Coturnix japonica: one gene and its partner. The protein of the gene in region 2 binds, or shares a complex with, the protein of the main gene of each other region. Links are inferred from orthologs where the notes say so. Each region holds a gene or a part of one and is shown on either strand. Other genes may lie near its edges.

Region 1 (6,344 bases), on a different chromosome or scaffold from region 2:
GATGGGCTATGGGGTGAACCATAGGGGTCCCAGGGTGCACTCACTGCATTGAATGGGCTATGGGATGAACCATAGGGGTCCCAGGGCGCACTCACTGCATTGAATGGGCTATGGGATGAACCATAGGGGTCTCAGGGTGCACTCACTGCATGGGATGGGATATGGGATGAACCATAGGGGTCCCAGGGCGCACTCACTGCATTGAATGGGCTATGGGGTTGAACATAGGGGTCCCAGGGCGCACTCACTGCATTGAATGGGCTTATGGGTGAACCATAGGGTCCCAGGGTGCACTCACTGCATGAATAGGTTATGGGATGAACCATAGGGGTCCCAGGGTGCCACTCACTGCATTGAATGGCTATGGGTGAACCATAGGGGTCCCAGGGCGCACTCACTGCATTGAATGGGCTATGGATGAAACGCATAGGGGTCCCAGGGCGCACTCACTGCATTGAATGGGCTATGGGGTGAACCATAGGGGTCCCAGGGTGCACAAACTGCATTGAACCACCCAGATCACTGTTAGGTGCAGGGTATGCCCACCCCCCCAGCCCCCCACCGGTGCTTCCTGGGCTCTGCTTTGCTCCTATGGGAATAGGGACACATATGGGGTGGGAATAGGGACACATATGGGGTGAGAACACTGTCCCCTTTGTCCCCTTCATCCCATGACACCGCAGGTCATCCTGGCTGCAGACCTGGGGCTGGGATCACCCTTCTCCGAGTGAGAGTTGTGACTCACCGCCGGCTGACATCACCCCTATTAATAGTGGGCTTTGTGAAAATTAATTAATCCAAATTAATTAGGAGGTTGGAACTGCCCGAGCGTTCCTCTGTAATCGTGGTGTACGGCAGCCCCAGCACAGCTCTGCTATGGCACAGCCATTCCCATGGCACTCCAAGCTGTCCCTATGGCACAGCATTGGTGGCATGGGATAGAGGGGACACAGGGACCCTCCCCAGAAGTGGCCCCATAACTGCTGACCTTAGTCCCTATTAGGGTAAAGGCTTTTGGGGTGTCCCCAAGGCTGGTTGACACCGAGTGTGACAAGGAGCAAGGACAGGGCGAGCAGCCCCACCACTGCTATGTATGGATATAGGGGTATCCCTTGGGGACCCCATAGTCACCCATTTTGGGGACCTGGAGCAGGGCACGGCGCAGTGTCACCATCCCTGACGCACTCTTTCCACCCATCTATAGGGACAGGGTGACTCCAGCATGGGGCAGCCCGTCCCCACCCGCACACCCGTCACACCAGCTCACGGGGCAGGAATTGCCTTCCTGGGCTCCATCCGGTCCGTCCCCATCCCGGGGTGACGGGGGGACGGGGACAGCCCTTCCGCTGAGCCCCACGTCAGGGCACTGAGATGGGAAACCACTCGGGTGAGTCAGGTTCGGAAGGGACGGGGACAGGTTGGGGGGTGAGTCAGCACCCCAAAGCCAGGCAGGCCGTGACTCCTCACCCCTGGAATTTGGGGTGCCAGGATGGGGTGAGGAGGGAGAGGACGCTGCATGGCCCCAGGTGGGGACGTGTGGGGAGTGGTGGCCTCGGGGTGCCCGGTGCTATCAGGACAAGTGAGCAGCATCACAGGGACTGCAAGTACTGGGGTGAAAGCTTGGCGTCAGATATAGGATCAGTGCCCACCACCATATCCTGGTGCTGTCCCAACCTGTTCTACCCCATCATAGATGGTCACCGGGGGCTGTGGCCACCACGGACACCATCCTATGCCAGCCCACGCCGTGAGTGAGGACTCGTCCCCCACCCCATCCATTGAGGTCATGGGATAAGACCACCAGCCCACGTGCCACCACCACATCCCCAACCTCAGCACAGCTCACACCCAGCAGCTTCCCCTCTCCCAGACTCCAGGGATGGAAAAACCTCTTCCAAACTCCGGCCATGGATCTGAGAGACAAGATCAAGCCCAACCCCGGCACCAGCAACTGGAGCAACTGGTTTAGCTGGGTCAAAGTGGAGCACGGGAGTCGCAGAGGCTGAAACCTGTTCCAGGTTGTGTGTAAACCTCCTGGCACGTCCCTCGCTGATCCCAGTTTGGTAAGAGCTGTTCTGGGGAGCTGCCAGTGTGGACATGCCAGATAGCACCGCTGCGGTCCCCGTTCCTTGGGTAGACCCCCCCTAACAATGTGATTTTGGGTTCATGGTTCCGACCCGTCCCATCACTCAGGGAACACCCGAGCATTCCCTGCTCTCAGGAAGGTTTGGGGTGCGATAAAAGTGGGGCAGAGCCCAACTGAGAGCACCCAGAGCTCAGTAATGGGAGCTGTACAGCCACCACCTGGCTCCCATCAAGCAGCCGTGCCAAGGGCTGCAGGGATCAGGGGGGTTTATTTTTACACCCAGGGCAGCCCTGCAGCAGCTGTGCAGGCAATGCAGTGCCAGGGCCACGCAGTCCCGGAAGGGGCGGCCGCATTCTGTCCACCTCTGAGACGGGGACGGGGGTGCCACGGTCAAAGACCCCCCCACACCGACACTGCCACGTGAGTGACACCGGGGTCTGCTCCCCACATTGGGCTGCACAGCCTTCCCCCAGTGCCCTGGGTTCTGTTTCTGCCCTTGGTTCTGTTCCTGCCCTGGGTTCTGTTCCTGCCCTTGGTTCTGTTCCTGCCCTGGGTTCTCTTCCTGCCCCATGTTGGCTGCCGGATCCTGATGGATAAAGGGATCGTGTCCTGAAGTGACACAGTCCCTTTGCTTCCCCCCAGGACCACCCTCTCCATCCAGACCTCTGCATCCACCCAATTCCATCTGGGTTCTTCACCTTCATCCAGATCCCCTCTGTAGCCACCCCAGCTGTTCCAGGTGCAGGACAGCAGTAGAGCCCCCAGAATCCCATAATTCACCCCAAATCCTCCCCTCTTCATCTGGGCAGGCTCAGGACCCCCATGGGGTCATGGTGGTACAGTTGTGGGGGGGGGGGATGTTGTGGGGGTCCCAGTGCTACAACATTTCTCAACCACAGACACAGGAAGCACGGAAAGTGGAAACGGAGGGAGCAGGATATAATTAGCCCCAAATTAAGGTTGGAATCTGGGATAAAGAGTCCGGCACCACCCAACTCTTGTGAAAACACCACAATCCGGCACCCAGCAGCCCCCTATATTGGGGATGCCCCAGTTTGGGGGCTCAGCATTGCTATGGGAAGAGGGGGGGAGCACCCAGGGGTGGGGAGATGCAACAGGCAAAGCCAGGCGGCGCGGATGCTGGGCCGTAATGAGAGCCAGGATTATCAGCACGGTTTGGAATCTGGTTTCTTTGGCCGTACCCGTTGCTGAGGCAACCTACAGGCAGGGATTGTGGGGCTTTTTTAATGGGACAAGGGCCTTTCTGTGCACAGGGAGCGGGGGGCCCACGCTGCGTCACCTGATAGCCCCCATCAGTTCTCCCCCCCCCCCCCCCCATGGCTCTGAGGACACCGGATACCTGCACACATCAGCCACCGAGGAGGGATGGGGCCGGATCCATCCCACACCGCAGCGCTGACAGATGGGGGATGCCCAATGGGTCACACTCAGGGTCACGGTCTGACCCAGGGCTGGCCCCATTGCTCACCCCATCCCCAACATCCCATTGCTGCTCATCCCATAGGGCTGCAAAAAGGGATGTGTGAGGTTAAGGGCGAGACACAGAGCACCCCAAAGTGCCCCATAAAAGCACCAGCAGGGCTGGTAGTGCTCCTCCAGGTGTGGGGTGAGCAGTGGGGCCAGCGGGGCGTCCCTATATCCCAACCCTAGTGAAGGCAGAGCGGGGCGTCCCAGCGGTGCCAGCCCGACTGTCCAGCCCCGGTATCGGATCCTCCCGGAGGGAGGGGGCCTGGAGCTTATTTAACATCCCTGGGCAGCCCAGCCCAGCACTTGGCGCAGCGGGGAGCTCAGGTGAGCGCGGGGCGGCGGATGGACCACGGGTACCCACCATGGTTTGACACCATCAAGGGGGTCCAAAGAAAGGGGGTACCCCATGAGAAAGGGGGGAGGGGGCACCCCATAACATCACTGATGGCGTTCTGCGTGGTGCCAGGTTGGGAGGGGGCAGTGCTTGAAGGATGGGGTAAGGGGGAGAATTGTGATCCCTGTAACACAGCGGGTGACTCCCGCAGCTGGAGTCATGGCATCGCAGCTTGAAGGGGCCATGGAGACCCTCATTAACGTCTTCCATCACTACTCGGGTAAAGAGGGGGACAAGTACAAGCTGAGCAAGAAGGAGCTGAAGGAGCTGCTGCAGAGCGAGCTGGGCTGCTTCCTGGAGGTAGGGGCTGAACTGGGGGATATGAGGGGGGGTCCCAGCAGGCTGCCAGCCCCGGGGCTCACCCCTTGTCCCCCCCCTCCAGACCCAGAAGGACACGGGGGCTGTGGAGAAGATCATGCAGGACCTGGATGAGAACGGCGACGGGGAGGTGGATTTCCAGGAGTACGTGGTTCTGGTGGCCGCCCTCACCGTGGCCTGTAACACCTTCTTCTGGGAGAACGCCTGAGCCGAGCTCCAGCCCCACAGCCCCCAATTATGGCAACCCCAAAAGCAGAGCCCACCCCTACACACCCCTTGCTCACCCCTTGCTCACCCCATACACCTGAGGGTCCCAAAGGGTCCCAGCTCCGCATTAAAGGCATTGACCCCACCAGCAGTGTGTTGTCAGCTCCTTTATACTGGGGATAAAGGGGGGGGGGGGGATGTTCACATCACCCTGGGGTCACCCATAGGGCCTATATCCCCAGGGTGAGGGACCCTGGCCTGCATGGGGGGGTGGGCTGTGGGGTGGAAGGGGGGGGTGTCCATATCACCCTGGGGTCACCCATAGGGCCTATATACCCAGGGTGAGGGACCCCGGCCTGCATGGGGGGTGGGCTGTGGTCACCTATAGGGCCTATACCCCTAGGGTGGGTGATCCCAGCCTACATGGGGGGGTGGGTTGTGGGGGGCAGGGGGGGGTGTCCACATCACCTTGGGGTCACCCATAGGGCCTATAGCCCCAGGGTGGGGGACCCCAGCCTGCATGGGGGGGTGGGCTATGGGGTGCAGGGGGGAGATGTTCACGTAACCCTGGGGTCACCTATAGGGCCTATATACCCAGGGTGGGTGACCCCGGCCTGCATGGGGGGGGTGGGCTGTAGGGTGCAGGGTGGGGGGGCGTCGTCCCCATAGAGATACGAGGGGGAGGAGGGACCAGTTCTAATATGGCACCGGGCTGCATAGGGACCGCCAGCGCCATCGTCTGCCGGGCTGCGGCCTGCACCTAACACATAAAACCCACAAAACCCAACCGGGCCTTGGAGGTGGATACAGGCCAAGTGAGGCCTTGTAGATGTCCCGGTCCAATTGGGCCTGGTGACCCGCACGGGCCTAGTCCCCGCCATGAGGCCTAGCACCCCGCACAGGGCTGGGCCCGCAACTAGGCCGCATCCATAGCCCCGCCCACATCACCCAAAGTCCCGCCCACCTCGTGCTGAGCGACCAATAGCAGAGGAGGATTTGTACGCGTCGCAGGCTCTCCGCCCAATAGCGGATAGAGTAGCGCTCGCTTCGCACTGCGCCTGCGCGCCGCCATTTTGGCCGGCTGTGCTCTGGGAGGCGGGAGGAAGGAGGGAGCTGCGATCGGCGCCGCCATTTTGTCTCGGGAGCTCCAGTGCGGTGGGAGCGGGCGGAGGAGCTGAGCCCCGGCCCCACAGCCGCTAACAGCCAACAGGCAGCACCACAGGAGACCTGGCGACCGTCTGCTTCGGTGAGAGACCGGGGGGGAGGCTGGGGTGGGCTCTGAGGGGCGGCTGGGGCACCTTTGTTAATGGGGGGGGGGCTGTGAGGAGGCCGCTTCAGGCCCTGAGGGGGGGGGTCGTCGTTTGGATGCTATTCCACAACATTGAGGTGTTTGGAATCGGTTTGGCCCGGCCTGGATTCGGTGTGCTGGTGAATTGTGGTATTTAATAAAGAAATGGGGATGTGGGTGGCTTTTAGTTGGGTTTTCTGCTACGCTTTGTTTAATATATGGTGAGGGTGAGACGTTCTGGGCTGTTTGCTAAGCAATAGGTTTGATGTTAATAGTAATAATGGAGAAATGGGTCAGTATCATCACAAAGCAATCCAGGCCTGTGTGATCTGAGAGCCCCCACACTGTGCCCAAAGCTTTGCATCTAAACTACACACCCATTGCTTGGCCACATCCAGAACGATGGATCTGAACACCTTTATGTGTTTATTTTTATCCAGTGATGTTAAAGCCTCATTGCAGAGCACAGGACCTGGGTCTGTTTCAAGGCAGTTTATCCTTCTTACTCATCCTGACAGCTTTAGAGCTGTGATGGTGTTATGAAGCTCAGCTTTAAATGGTTG
Region 2 (6,332 bases):
TATGTGGTAGCAAAGCAAGTTCACTTTCACAGATGGGACTATTTCCTCATCAGAAGTCTTGTTATCCCTCCAGCCAGTTGGCCAACTGCTCAACTCCACCTTACTCAATACGCCTCCCTGAACAAGTAGGAGTGCACTGAGGCATAACCTTACTGAAAGAGGCGGGGTTCCTTTCTGATACCTTTGACAATACATGGACTTTTATGCTCAGCACTGTAAGGAAAGCGAGCTGCTTTTGCATTAAAAAATACCACGTTATGTTCTCTAATTTCCTATCAATGCTCTCTTCTTTCTTCACTAAAGACATCTCTGTTTCCTCAGCCTGCCTCCACGGCTATTTAACTCCTGTGCTTTGTAGTGAGAAGGGTTTACATTGCAAAAGGAAAAAGGACAAAAAAAAAACCCTACAGCAAACACATCATGGTGAGTCAGCAAAAGGCACTGACTACAGAACATCACAGAATCACAGAATTATAGGGGTTGGAAGGGACCTCTAGAGATCTTCGAGTCCAACCCCCCTGCCAAAGCAGGCTCCCTACACCAGGTCACACAGGTAGGCGTCCAGCTGGGTCTTGAATATCTCCAGAGAAGGAGACTCCACCACCTCCCTGGGCAGCCTGTTCCAGTGCTCCATCACCCTCACCGTAAAGAAGTTCTTGCGCACATTCGTGCGGAATTTCCTATGCTGTAGTTTCATCCCATTACCCCTAGTCCTGTCCCCATGCACTACTGAAAAGAGACCAGCCTCACCACTATGGCTCCCACACCTCAGGTATTTATAAACATCCCTAGGATTCAAACAGTTGCAGCCCTGCTTTGTGTGTGCTGCTATTTATTAACAAGTATTTACATTAACAAATACATCTGCAATGAAGACAATACCTTCCGTTGATCACTGCTTATATTCATGTAAATAAAGTGCAATTCTTAGATGCACGCTAATAAGCTCATAGAAAAAAAACAAAACATTTTTATATTTGCTTATCAGTTTTTCATGGCCACAGGCAGAATGATTCGTACAGGAACTGAAACACAACTACACTGCTAAAAGTGGTTATTAAGCATAAAATCTACTACAAATATGTTGGATAAATAAATAGCTTTTGTATTCAAGACTTATTCAGAGGATAAATTACCTCCGAAGTGAAGGAAAGTGATGATTTTCCATTACTTCCTCCCTTAAAAGTTCTGTATTCCAATATTTCTACCTCTCACATCTCATTTTGATTTACAGACTGAAACATAAGCATAATATTTTCTTTTTTCCACCTAACTGAGATGTTCCTCATTTTCAGTGACCTACAGAACACCACAAACCCACTGTATCTCAAAGAAGCTGTCTGTAGTACCGGGCAGTCCCTGGTGACCCATGGGATGAAGCAGCTCCCCTTTGACGACAGGCTGAGAGAGCTGGGGCAGTTCAGCCTGGAGAAGAGAAGGCTCTGGGGAGACCTGAGAGCGGCCTTTCAGTGTCTGAAAAGGGACTATAAGAAAGAAAGAGACAGACTCTTTAGCAGGGTCTGCTGTGACAAAACAACAGGAAATGGTTTCAAGCTTAAAAAATATGAGATTTGGACTAGATATAAGAACAGTTTTTTTATAATGAGAGTGGTGAGGGACCACAACAGGCTGCCCAGAGAGGAGGTAGGTGCTGTCTCTGGAGACACTCAAGGCCAGGCTGGACGGGGCTCTGAGCAACCTGATCCAGCTGTATGTGTCCCTGTTCACTGCAGGAGAGTTGGACTAGATGGCCTTTAAAGGTCCTTTCCAACTCGAACGATCCTATGATACACCATCCTGCACATTAAAGTGATGTTTCCTTGCAGTTGCTCTTCTCCTTCCTTGGTTTTAGAGCTCCCTTACCTGAACTAAGCACTTTTTACTGCCCTTGCAGCACTTACAGTTCCTGCCCACACACAGAGGTAGCCACAAACCAAGTACAATTCATAACCTGTGCTATCACTTAATCCCTCACTATAGCTACATCTCCATCAAAATTTCCTATAGCATTAACATTGTTTATGTCAGTCTTTGATGCCATTTGTTTCGTATAACAGGAGAAAGTTACACAGAGAAGCATATATATACACATACATAACACTGACAAACTTTCAAAGTGGTTCAGACTCACGAAAACTAACCCACATGCCTCTTCTGTGACAAATAAAAACCTGGAGGTATCACAGGATCAGCACGGTCACTTATTTGCCTATCCATGAGCCTGCAGCATTATTCATCTCTGTTTTATTGCCAATAAACACGCAGCCAGGCTTGGAAAACTTCAATCGTGTAGAATGATCAGTGTTATAGAGGACAGACATGGGCAGAGGAATGAATTTAATCTGCAATGGAAAAATGCTGACTTTATTCAATTATACAAAGGCAGAAGAAGCCTCCAGAAAGTCTGCACCCATTTGGAGACAAAAAGAAATACTGTAATTAATGGACAAAAGGAAGTTCAGAACTTAACTTCATCGGTCACTTGAGTACAGGCAGTGCTTCTCAGCTCATAGAGAGCTAAGAAGAAAGTGTCACTGTATCTTACGTTATTTGACAGGACAAGAGGCAATAAGAACAAACTGAAACAGGAAGTTCTGTCTGGCACGAGGAATGAAGCATTTCTGAGCTCTGTGGGTGGCTGAGTGCTGGCACAGGCTGCTCCTCCTTTGGGATATTCAGAAGCAGCCTGGATGTGATTGTGGGTTCCCTGCTTGGGCCTGCGAACCTGAGCCATCCTCCAGCCCTGGGATCTTCACTTGCAGACTCAGCATGTCCAGGCATATACTCTGTCAAGGGCACAGTGGATTAAAGCTACTTGTATGTTGTAGAATGAATACAATTACAGACTGCCACATCTAACACACGTGAATGTGAACCAGATAGAGGACCAGTCTCAAAACCTGTGGCTAGGAACAGAAATTAGAGATCCACATCTTAGCCCACCAGCGCCTCTCCAGCTCTGAAACACAGCCCTGTCAATCTTGAAAAGTACAGAGAATCGACCTCATTGTAACCACCTAAGACATTCTGGACATCCTTCTTCTAACTTCAGAGAAGTCTGGAGCATTTATTTTTCTGATGTCTCCAACATTTAAATCATCCCAAAGCTTCCGCTGCCACAACAACCTGCTTTGTTTTTTAGTACAGAAAAGCATAAAACCGCTCTATGTGAAGACATGAGCCGAGCACACGGAAAACCACACCCCAGCTCTGGGCAGGCAGCTACCATGGAGCTGGGTCCGAGGGGAAGGCAGGGAGTGCTGCTAACGGAGGCATTGTAACACACGCTGCTTCTTGAGAGATGCCTTGTGAAAACCTGCTTGAAGCCGGATGAGTTCCCAGGGCCACAAGCAGCGATCACGCACACAGACCCTGGGGTCTGATCCCTGAGCTCAGCCTTCCCCCGCTGCTGCTAACAGGAAACGAAAAAGCCTTCCTCACCCCACACCCTTCCTCCTCTAGGGCACGCCGGCTCGGGGGCCAGGCCGAGGCACGGCCCCATCCCTGGGGAGAGCAGGAGGCCCGTGAAAGGGGAAGCGGAGATGGAGGAAGAGCCGGAGGAGCCTTTTCTCTCCCCGGCCGCCGCCGCCTCCAGCGGACACAGGATCCCGGCCCTACAAGGAGCGGCGGGAGCTGCCCCGGGCCGGCCCTGCCCCCTGCCCGCCCGCGGACCCTCCTCCGGCCCCCGACTGACAGGCCGAGCCGCAGGGGCGGCCCCAAACGGCGACGGTGCCGCGACCCGCCGACTCAGAGAACCGGGGAAGGGGGGGGTTCGGCGGCCGGGAGCAGCATCCCCACCCCGCCCGCCCCTACCTTCTCCTCATCCGAGAGCTGCTCCTCCAGGTCCGCCATCTTGCCGTCCGGCGCCCCGCAGCTCCGCCCTCGCGTGCAGGAAGGGCACCCCCGCCCCAAGGCTGAGCCGCGTCTGCGCATGCGCCATGCGGGGGCGGGCACCGGCTGAGGGAAGGGTGGGCGGTGTGTGCGTGTACCACACGGAGCGCGCGGGGATAGGGAGGAGGTGGTGGAGCTGGTGTGTGTTGTGAGGATGTGGAGTTCAGTGTCTGCTTATGGCAAAGACCGGGAGACCAGGGGGTGGGGGAAGAGCTGGCGCTGGCTGGGAGTGCTCCTCACCTCCTGTGGGACGCTGCTCAGGTCCCCTCATGGCGGGGCTGGCTGAGCTCTGGGCTCAGAGAGGTGGGAGCTGAAATGCTGTGGTGAAAAACGAAACCGAAGGCTGAGAGGAGTCAGATGATGTTTGTGAGATATCCTTCCTCTAACTTGGTGAAAACCAGAGGAAAAATGGGAAATGATGCATTAGGGAAACCAAGTTCTGCTGCTTGGGTTGTGTGAAATGCTGTGGTAAAGGCTGAATAAAACGACTGAGCACCATTTCATTAATAGGGGTGCCAGTTTCCTCGGTGGTACAATAGCACGTGCAGCTGAAATAACACGGAAATCCTCATTCTGCATAATAAAACATGACAACCCTTAAGTGAATCCACACATCACGTTATTTTATTGGGTACATCTTTCAGTTGGATTAACACTAGGAAACAAAATGACAATTTGGAGCTTCACACGCATCAAGATAGATCTTAGTAGATCATAATTAGTGGTATGATATAGTCACCTTCTAGCAAAAGATCTTGGTACGCTCTGAGGCTCATCCGTCTCTGTTGCAACAGCAGCCATATAAAATTGCTTAATACTGTCACATGCAGCACAACAAAATATTCCCAGTACCTGTAGCATTCTAGATGCCCTAGAGGGACTGTTGTATTTAAATAAAAGAAAGCAATATTGTACAAGTGGTTTTTGCAGGTCAAGCGAGCACTGGAAAATTACAATGCCCTGAAAATCGATATAGAAACAAAGGATGAAAATGAAAAAGTCAATGAATGTACAATTTGGGCAACTTGTCTGATTCAGAAAAGCTGAAGAGACGTTTTAAATATCTGTAGCCATGCTGGACAAAGGTAGTTTTGTTCCTGTTGGGAACAAAATAAACAACAAACAAACCTTGTATGTGATGAGGTCCTTGCTAGAGGCAAAGCAGTGAAGCGTAGAACGAGAAAGGTATGTCCTGACATAGTTTGGTTTGGGAGCATCTCATACTTGTTATTTGGAGTCAACAACTGCAGTTAATGGTCTGTAGCATGGAATGCATTGCGTAGCATTCAGTTTCATGCAACAGGAATTGATAATTTCTATCCAAGAGTCTTAAAATAAACCAGCTGGGGAAGTCTGTGTTGATTTCCAACAAGCCTTAGGATTTGCCACCTACTGGGGTATTGCCAAGGAAACAGCTTTACTTAAAATGTAAAAAGAGGATCACTCAAGGAGGTAGATCTGGGCATATAAACATGGCTGATTTTCTCCTAAGATGTGATATCTAGCTGCTGGTTTTACTGTGTTTAAGCAAGGTTTTTTTTTCTTAACATTTGCAGAATTTTACCATGGTGAGGGGAATGATTCAGGGGAGGACTGTTGAGTCATCACAGATATTAGTGGGAACCTTCTGTGCATTACACTGGCAGGTGCTTTACTGTGACCTTAGGACTTAATGGGAAGTGAATAATCAGGATAATGTGGAAATAAGTGCTGCTCTTGCCTTATGACTCAGTGTTTTGAAGTGGTTTTGTGTCTTTTCAGGAAGAATATGGATACTTCATGGGGAGTTTAAAGGAAGGAGAACTAAAAATATTCCTGAAGATGCAGAGCGAACTGCAGGATGGGAAGCTTAAGGATGCCAAGATTAAGAAGTGACTTAGAAAATATCTCCTCGGGGGGTGACTGCAGTATAAAGCAGTGATGCCTGAGTTAGTTTGGAATTTATCTGCATCTTATCTGAAGTTATATTTCCTCACTTGCTGTTTTAATTTGTACAAATTCAGTTTCCAACCGGTAGCTCTTATTATGCCATGAAGTTCATCTACATAGCTTTTTTATGTGCCACTGTCTCTACACATCGATCAAAGGTTAATTTGCACTGCAGTTACATGCAGTAAAGTGAAACATCCAATTGCTAACAAGCCAACCCAAGTTTAAGTGAATTTCTAATCCCACATTGGAGCTCACTCCGGGCCGCCTGGTCTGTCTGATGAGCAGTGTGTGGTTTACTGATGCAAGGAGAGAAGGGCAATTTAAAATAAAATAGAAAAGCAGCCATTGAGTCTATTTAATTTTATCAGACACCGTAGAGCTACTAATCAAGTACATTGCTGTTCTGCTTTTGTCATTTATTTCGGTATTGACTCTGAGCAGTATTTGGTCTTTGCAAACCTCCCAGTTCTCTCTTTTTACCTTACAGTATCTTAACAGTTAAAGCAAAT

What was found. The genes of interacting proteins can lie anywhere in the genome.
Region 1: the proteins of CAPZA2 (region 2) and S100A1 are in contact, whole or in part, in an NMR structure (PDB 2KBM), measured with the Rattus norvegicus proteins. The link is inferred for Coturnix japonica from reciprocal best matches to the Homo sapiens genes CAPZA2 and S100A1. Residues at the interface, in NP_001009180.1 of Rattus norvegicus: Thr267, Lys268, Ile269, Asp270, Trp271, Asn272, Lys273, Ile274, Leu275, Ser276; in NP_001007637.1 of Rattus norvegicus: Ser44, Phe45, Leu46, Asp47, Lys50, Asp51, Ala54, Lys57, Ile58, Glu61, Leu78, Ala81, Leu82, Thr83, Ala85, Cys86.

Annotation. Positions count from the first base shown.
Region 1 is NC_029540.1:1,232,564-1,238,907, forward strand, and holds S100A1 (protein S100-A1), read left to right. Parts: upstream 1-2,386; 5' UTR 2,387-2,506; intron 2,507-3,757; exon of another isoform or gene 3,758-3,898; intron 3,899-4,103; exon of another isoform or gene 4,104-4,119; 5' UTR 4,120-4,127; coding exon 4,128-4,268; intron 4,269-4,350; coding exon 4,351-4,494; 3' UTR 4,495-4,638; downstream 4,639-6,344. UniProt on the Homo sapiens protein: Small calcium binding protein that plays important roles in several biological processes such as Ca(2+) homeostasis, chondrocyte biology and cardiomyocyte regulation.
Region 2 is NC_029516.1:22,329,980-22,336,311, forward strand, and holds the start of CAPZA2 (F-actin-capping protein subunit alpha-2), read right to left. Parts: upstream 3,942-6,332; 5' UTR 3,934-3,941; coding exon 3,814-3,933; intron 1-3,813. UniProt on the Homo sapiens protein: F-actin-capping proteins bind in a Ca(2+)-independent manner to the fast growing ends of actin filaments (barbed end) thereby blocking the exchange of subunits at these ends.